2 linked regions of the Ovis aries genome follow. The protein of the gene in region 2 purifies or fractionates together with the protein of the main gene of each other region. This does not show direct contact. Links are inferred from orthologs where the notes say so. Each region holds a gene or a part of one and is shown on either strand. Other genes may lie near its edges.

Region 1 (3,915 bases), about 41 Mb from region 2:
AAGAACTGGATGCAACTTCCCTGGTGACCCAGTCGCTAAGACTCTGTTCCTAAGGCAGAAGGCTCAGGTTTGATCCCTGGTCGGGAAACTAGACCCCACACGCTGCCACTAAGAGTCTGCATGCTGCAACTAAAGATTCTGCATGCCACAACTAGAGACTCAGAGCAGCCAAATAAATTAAAAAAAAATTTTTTTAATAGAAGAATTGGAGAAAATCCATGACCTTGACAGAAGTTAACATTGTTATATTATACCAAATGTTCTGCAGTCCATGCCTTTTCTCTAGCCATGCGCTATGGCCTAGAAGCAGAAGCCAAGAAAAAAGTTGGTGGGTGTGATTCAAGAGAACAGAAGTGCTTGCTTAGTACAGAAGATCAAAATGAATGAAGAAAGCAATGAGGATAGTGACTGGTCACAGAGGTCCAGCAGGCCAGCATCAAAAGTAGTCATAACGGGGATTTCCCTGGTGGCGCAGTGGATAAAAATCCATCTGCCAATTCGAGGGACACCAGTTGGATCCCTGGTCCAGGAAAATTCCACATGATGCCCAACAACGAAGTGCATGTGCCACAACTACAGAGCCCGAGTGCTGCCAAACGCTGAAGCCTGTGCAATAGAGCCTGTGTTCTACCACAAAGAGAAGCCAAGCACCACAAGAGTAGCCCCTGCTCCCCACAACTAGAGAAAGCCCATGTGCAGCAACAAAGACCCAGCTCAATCAAAAATTAATTTTTTAAAAACTAAAAAAAAAGAAATAGTAGTCATAAAGGTGCTGGTAGACTCAATGAAATGAAATGGAAAACAGGTCAAGGACCAGAGAAACTAAAGAGGGCAAAAAGCTGATTCTATGGGTGTGTGGAAGTAAAAAAGATGACTAAGGAAGTTAAAATAAGTGATGGGGAGCCCTGTCACTGGTGGTGTTCTGTGTAGTAGGATATGTAGTAGGTCCAGATTGCAGTGGTTCTGATGTGTAGCTGGCTTGAAAATTCAAAGGAAAATCAACAATCTCACATTGAGGAATTATAAAAGTATTGCAGGGACTTCCCTGTTGGTCTAGGGGTTAAAAGTCCACCTTGCAATGCAGAGGACACAGGTTCAATCCCTGGTAGGGGAACTAAGACCACACATGCCCTAGGGCAACTAAGTCTGCATGACCCAACAGAAGATTCCACGTGACACAACAAAAATCCCCTGTGTGGATGCAGCCAAATAAATAATAAATATGTATCTATAAGTATTCCATAGATGCTGAGTGGAGACACTGAGAAACAGAATGAAATGATATGATACATCTTGTCCGTGGATGTTGGACCTTAAGTTTTAGAGAAAATGCTACAATTGCATGGCAACATCTTCCAGGAGAATTACAGTGACAGTGGTAGATCGATGATCTGGAAGCAGCAAGGGAAAGCAAAAGAGCAGTGTGATTCCTTCTCTTCTACACGGTCACATGAGAACAGAAGATACCTCTTGGGAGGGTAAGGTGAGATGTCATATCTGAATTTTCATTAAATCAGTTTAAAGAAAACAGTTAATAAGTAGAGATGTACTGGACAATGAGTAATATTTTCAAAAACCACATCAAGAGAGGCAAATTGAAGAAGTACCTACTATGTAGAGAGCAAGAGAAGTTGTAGCACTTTGAAAGGTGATGTTGCAGAGAAGTAGCAGAGACTTGGGTTGTCATTAGATACCATATGAGAGGTGGGTTGAGAAGTAACATGGAAAACAAGAAAAGCAAGAGGCATAAAAGGTATATTTTAAAACGGACTGCATGGACCAAAGTACACACACACACACACACACTTCTATAGAATACAAATACACAATAAGGACTACAAAAAACAGTAACGCCTTGCCTTGCACAGCATTTTATAAATCGCTTTCACATACAGTATCTTATTCGACTGTCACTGAATAGATATGCACATTTTTCCTAAAGATGAGAAAATTAGGATGGGGCATAGCCAAAACGAAAATCTTGATTCCCAGTTTTCAACATATCAGCCTCACATACACAGCAGACACTTCAGCAGCTTGGAAAATCTTCTCTGACTAGAAGAAATAGTGGGTTCTATAAACTTGTCAGAGGACTTGAGAGGCCATCAGACACCTTCTCGTTTACCTTCTACCACCTCAGATCCCTCAACTCTTATCACCATCACCAGAGAAGGTACCGAAGGGTGACAGGTGGTGTTATCAAGGAGAGAACTCCAGCTGAAAGTTCTATTAGGTTCCTCTTCTCCTCACACCTCTGGACCTCAATGAACCAACAATTAAGATGAGTTAGAGTGGAAAAAGAACTATGTAGCAATGAGGAGGTCTCCAACAGATACAGCTTTGATAAATAGTATTTAAATGGGGCTCCGGTAGGGTAGAAAGCAGGTACACTGAGAGATGGGGGAGGGGAAAAGGGGGGGGATCAAGAATTGGAGGGAATTGAGAGTGGAGGCGCCCCCAAGGCTGAAGAACCCCAAAGAGATATGGGATTTCCAAGCGCTGGAGAAAAGCTAAGGGTTCGTGAGGGTCCTGGATCAAGGACCAGCATTGAAGGACCCCAGGGCTTGGGTGACCGGAAGCGGAGACCCCCCAAACAAGAGACCAGAAGGGGGCGCAGGTGACACCCCGTAGGAGAGAATGAATGGGGAAGGCGGTCCGGAGGGCGGGGCAAAGGAGGGGCCCCGGGATGGGCGGGGCACAGACCCCTTTCTAAGTCCGAACCCCTGCCCCGAGAGCCATGGGAGAAGCGGCTCCGCGACTCCCGCACTCACCGCCGGTCTCGTCAGTTACATAGGGAGTCGCCATCTTGAAAACGCAAACCACTTCCGGCGTGAGCGGGCTGGGGTCCCGCCCCCCTCCCCACCGGAAGTGGAGTCCAGATCGTAACAAGCCACCATTTTAGTCTTAAAGGGAGAGTACACCATTTGGTGGACAGACGTGAAGGAGGCGTAAAGAAGCTGAAGACTAAAATAAAATAAGAGCCATAGCCTCTTTTACTGCCATTGATACCAGTATTGAGCGCCTGCTGCGTGTATAGCAGTTCTCTAGGCGCCGAGAGAAGTTCCGAGGCATAGCCCCTATCCTCACCGGCACTCTTCGTCTGTCTAGGACCTGCGGGAGAAAAGGGGGCAAGGCCCACCTGCATCCAGAAGGCGGGGGAGAGGGAAGGCTAGTAAATGAGGAAAAGAAGGTTATTCATGTCCTGGCCTGCGCCCAGGTTCCAGAGCCGCTTGGGGATACGGGGCGGGGCAGGCAAACTCCGGGAACGCACTGGGGCGCACCAGTGTTGGGGGCGAACGCAAGACCCCAACTGACCCTCTCTTAGAAGGTGGGGAGGTAGAAATCGCGCGCCGATTGCCCTTGGCCGCTCAGCTCAACCCTCCCGAGAGAGACGCGCGAGAGAGACGTGCAAGGCCGAAGGCGCTGCCTGTCGGTCATTTATCCCCGCAGCTACAGGGTTGCCGGCGACTTCTACGGCTGAGAAGGCGCGGTGGGCGGGCGGGGCGGATAGCCCCGGCCTGGCCCTGCCCCTGGGGCGGCCCCAGGGACTCGGGCGGTGAAGTGACGACGGCCCAAGTTTGCTCTGGCCTTCGACCCGGGAGCCTCCTCGGGCTCGCCCCAGGGTCAGAGGGTGAGATGAAGGCTGCTGGGCGGACCCAATTAGTATTCTAATTAAGCTCGGCCAAGTCTCAGCGCTCTGGGGATCCAAATCCGGGCAAAACGCCAATAACCTGAGCCGCACGGTCACTCCCTTTGCAGCCCTGCTCTGCCCCGTGTCTCCCTTTTTAGAGGAACCCAAATGTTCTCCCTCCCCCGCTTTTTTCGGCAGCTCTTGTTCCTTCAGGGCCAAGTCCTGCTAAACTCGTTTCCCCCGCAGCTTGGGAGGGGCCGGCTACAGGTTCCTCTCCTCTCCTC
Region 2 (3,915 bases):
GATAACCACAATGGTGTGATTACTCACCTAGAGCCAGATATCCTGGAGTGCAAAGTCAAGTGGGCCTTAGGAAGCATCACTATGAACAAAGCTAGTGGAGGTGATGGAATTCCGGCTGAGCTACTTCAAATTCTAAAAGATGATGCTGTGAAAGTGCTGCACTCAATATGCCAGCAAATTGGGAAAACTCAGCAGTGGCCACAGGACTGGAAAAGGTCAGCTTTCATTCCAATCCCAAGGAAAGGCAATGCCAAAAAATGTTCAAACTACTGCACAATTGCAATCATCTCACATGTTAGCAAAGTAATGCTCAAAATTCTCTAAGCCAGGCTTCAACAGTACATAAACATATACTTCAGTTTTATTGACTACACCAAAGCCTTTGATGGTGTGGATCACAATAAACTGTAGAAAATTCCTCAAAAGATGGGAATACCAGACCACCTTACCTGCCTTCTGAGAAATCTGTATGCAGGTCAAGAAGCAATAGTTAAAACCAGACATGGAACAACAGACTGGTTCCAAGTTGGGAAAGGAGTATGTCAAGGCTGTATATCATCACCCTGCTTATTTAACTTCTATGTAAAGTACATCATGCGAAATGCCAGGCTGGATAAAGCACAAACTGGAATCAAGATTGCCGAAGAAATATCAATAACCTTAGATATTCAGATGACGGCACCCTTAGGGCAGAAAAGCAAAGAACTAAAGAGCCTTTTGATGAAAGAGGAGTGAAAAAGTTGGCTTAAAATTCAACATTCAAAAACTAAGATCATGGCACCTGGTCCCATCACTTCATGGCAAATAGATGGGGAAACAGCGGAAACAGTGGCTGACTTATTTTTCTGGGCTCCAAAATCACTGCAGATGGTGATTGCAGCCATGAAATTAAAAGACGCTTACTCCTTGGAAGAAAAGTCCTGACCAACCTAGAGAGCACATTAAAAAGCAGAGACATTACTTTGCTGACAAAGATTCCTCTAGTCAAAGCTATCGTTTTTCCAGTAGTCAGGTATGGATGTGAGAGTTGCACTATAAAGTAAGTTGAGTGTGGAAGAATTTATGCTTTTGAATTATGGTGTTGGGAGAAGACTCTTGAGAGTCCCTTGGACTGCAAGGAGATTCAACCAGTCCATCCTTAAGGAAATCAGTCCTGAATATTCATTGGAAGAGACTGATGCTGGGAAAGACTGAAGGCAGGAGAAGGGAGCAACAGAGGATGAGATGGTTGGATGGCATCACTGTCTCGATGGACATGAGTTTGAACTTAGCTTCCAGGAGTTGGTGATGGACAGGGAAGCCTGATCTGCTGCATTCCATGGGGTCGCCAAGAGTTGGAGTGACTGAACTGAACTGAAGATTAAGAAAAGACTGTTTCATCCATGTGACTGGCTAAAATTGACCAGCTAAAAGCTGGTCACATGCCAAGACCCTGAAGACAGTATAAACCCAGGGATTGAACCCAGGTCTCCCACATTGTAGGCAGATGCTTTACCATCTGAGCCACCAGGGAAGTCCAAAGAAAGAAAAGATAAAGAGAATTCAAGTAAATTTGGCTCCTGAGCTAAATTTAGAAACAACCTGAGGGGAACCAGGAAGATTAGGGATTAAGGTTCCTAAATAATTGCAGAATGTAGTTACCCTGACTTCTACCTGATGTATCTGATATTCTTCCCTTTTGCTAGTATGTGAACCTCCCCTAATTTTTCTTTCATGCCCTCCCAGAACTTTGTCCAAAGCATGAACACAGCGCCTAATATGCATACCGCTTTACACTTAGTTTTATGTTTATGTCATCCACCAAAATATAACTCCTTGAAGGGAATGAAAATGTCTTATGCACTGCTGTACCCTCAATTTTTGTTTTTACGTGTTGCCCAGCACATAATATGCATTCAAAAAAACAGTCTATGCAGTTGGACTACTGTTGTTACAATAACAGTTCAATATACAGTACAACTATCTAAAGAGAATTAGTTGTCAAAATATAGAATTTGCTGCATATTTCTTGGGCAACTGGCAGTTTCACCTCACCCCGGGCCCCCTTCCCCGCTCTTAGAGCGCTCAGGAGTCTGACGCCTTTTCTCCCAGAGACCAAGAAAATACGTCTTCTCATTCCAATACTCATCTCAATGGTCGCCTTCTCAAAAAAGATTTCCGACTCTTTCATGAAGAACTAACCGCGCCCCCTTTTAATAGTCTTAATGCATCCAATAGCGAACAACTGTATTTAAGCACCCGAAAGACATCATTACACTCGTTTTTCTACACGTTGGGCTTCCCACCTCCAGAGCATTTTGCTTTTCTGCCTTCCATACAGTGCCTGAACGAGTAAATTAATTCAGGATGAATGGGCCGTCTGAAATTTACTATTTAAAGGAAGATTTTAAGTGTCCATGGATCCACCGCTTGGTGGGGATGTCAAAAAATGTCCAAGTATTAGGTTAATTAACTAGAAGGCCGTTAAGGTCCCTTCCGGTGAACTGATTCTAGAATTCTGATTACTATAGCTTGAACTTTAGGATCAAAGGTAGCATAGGCTTTTCTGAAATAATTGACACCGACTAATTCTCTTTTATTCCCTCAAACCAATGTAAGCTTCCTACATTTTTAAGCTCCTGGACCCAACTGTACACTCGCGAGCCCGAGCAAGCTCACCCACCCACCCTGCCTCCTTCGCGGCCTCTCCGCCTCGCTTCTCCCCTGCTCATCATCACTCCCAGGTGCGGCAGTCGCCTCTCTTCCGCTCACCGTCCGGCCGAAACTCAAACTCCAGAAACTCGTGTCCAAATTTGCCCTTGTGCCCTACGTAGTAGCGCAGGTAGAAATCGCTGGCCATAGCCATCTTTGTCCCCGAAAAGCCCGCCGAAGGACCGGCCGACGTGACTCCCGGCGCCTGGCAGTGACGTCAGTCGCCCAAGGATTACACGTCACAGCGGGCGCGCCCCTTCAGCCTCCCTCGGCCCGAGAGAAAAGCGGGTGGGAGATAGGGTGCGGTGGGGCAGGGTTGCAAAGGCATGAACTCTGCTTTACTAAGGTCATATTATTTTCAAAATTAGTTAGATCATATTATATTGGGAAAGCACAAGTGATAAAATATGAAAGCATTTGTTATGACCTCCGAATTAGTTCGGAGTTGCTCTAAGTTCTAAATTAAAAGTCGCTCTGACTTTTGGGGTCTCACGGCATCCCGTGAGGTGGGTGTGGCCTTATCCCCCAGGTTAGTGGCATGAGTCAAGGTAAAAGCCCAGAATCAGAATGCAGACCTGCAGTACAGCCATTTCTCTTGCTAGACTTCTAACACAGGCCTCTCCCCTTTGGACAATGATGGCTCGCTTTCTGGCATCTAGAAGCCAGACGAGACAAAGTAGAAAGAATCCATCACGACAGGCTGTCTGAAAATTTGAAGAGCACATTGAAGCAAAATCTCTTGACAGTCATGATACGAAAAAAATTTCTATCAATAATAAAACATCCAGTTACTGGAGTTTCGGCAATTTGATCACAGGTCAAGTGGTTTAGCGCCCATTTCTTACGCTCTAGAGTTATACTGGGGAAATATAGCTCTCATCTGGAGTGGGTTTTGAAGGATGAGGAAAGGCAAGCTGAGCTTTACACAAAGCCTGTTTGTTTGTTTGTTTGTTTTTTCCTCTTCGGTTATATTGATTACCTTTCTTTTATCGACACACAGAATAATCCTGCTTGTTGGATACCCTTTAACCTTCAGTGGGATTTGATAAAGAGAGTGGCAGTCAGAAGACAGGGATTTATGCCCATTACTTATCTCTACCTAACTTCCTTTAAGACCCTATCTTTAAGCCGTTTTATTGGTCAACCAAATGAGTAGACTAAAATCAACTTTGTCAAGCTCAAAAAACTGTTGAAAGGACCAGATAAGATAATGTATGTGAAATA

The links.
Region 1: the proteins of MAGOHB (region 2) and PYM1 purify together in Homo sapiens (co-immunoprecipitation; 3 studies listed by BioGRID and IntAct, with this or other methods). This does not show direct contact. The link is inferred for Ovis aries from reciprocal best matches to the Homo sapiens genes MAGOHB and PYM1.

Annotation. Positions count from the first base shown.
Region 1 is NC_056056.1:163,592,833-163,596,747, reverse strand, and holds the start of PYM1 (partner of Y14 and mago), read right to left. Parts: upstream 2,809-3,915; 5' UTR 2,806-2,808; coding exon of another isoform or gene 2,772-2,805; 5' UTR 1,724-2,771; coding exon 1,612-1,723; intron 1-1,611. UniProt on the Homo sapiens protein: Key regulator of the exon junction complex (EJC), a multiprotein complex that associates immediately upstream of the exon-exon junction on mRNAs and serves as a positional landmark for the intron exon structure of genes and directs post-transcriptional processes in the cytoplasm such as mRNA export, nonsense-mediated mRNA decay (NMD) or translation.
Region 2 is NC_056056.1:204,663,602-204,667,516, reverse strand, and holds the start of MAGOHB (protein mago nashi homolog 2), read right to left. Parts: upstream 2,905-3,915; 5' UTR 2,846-2,904; coding exon 2,752-2,845; exon of another isoform or gene 2,667-2,751; intron 1-2,666. UniProt on the Homo sapiens protein: Required for pre-mRNA splicing as component of the spliceosome. Plays a redundant role with MAGOH in the exon junction complex and in the nonsense-mediated decay (NMD) pathway.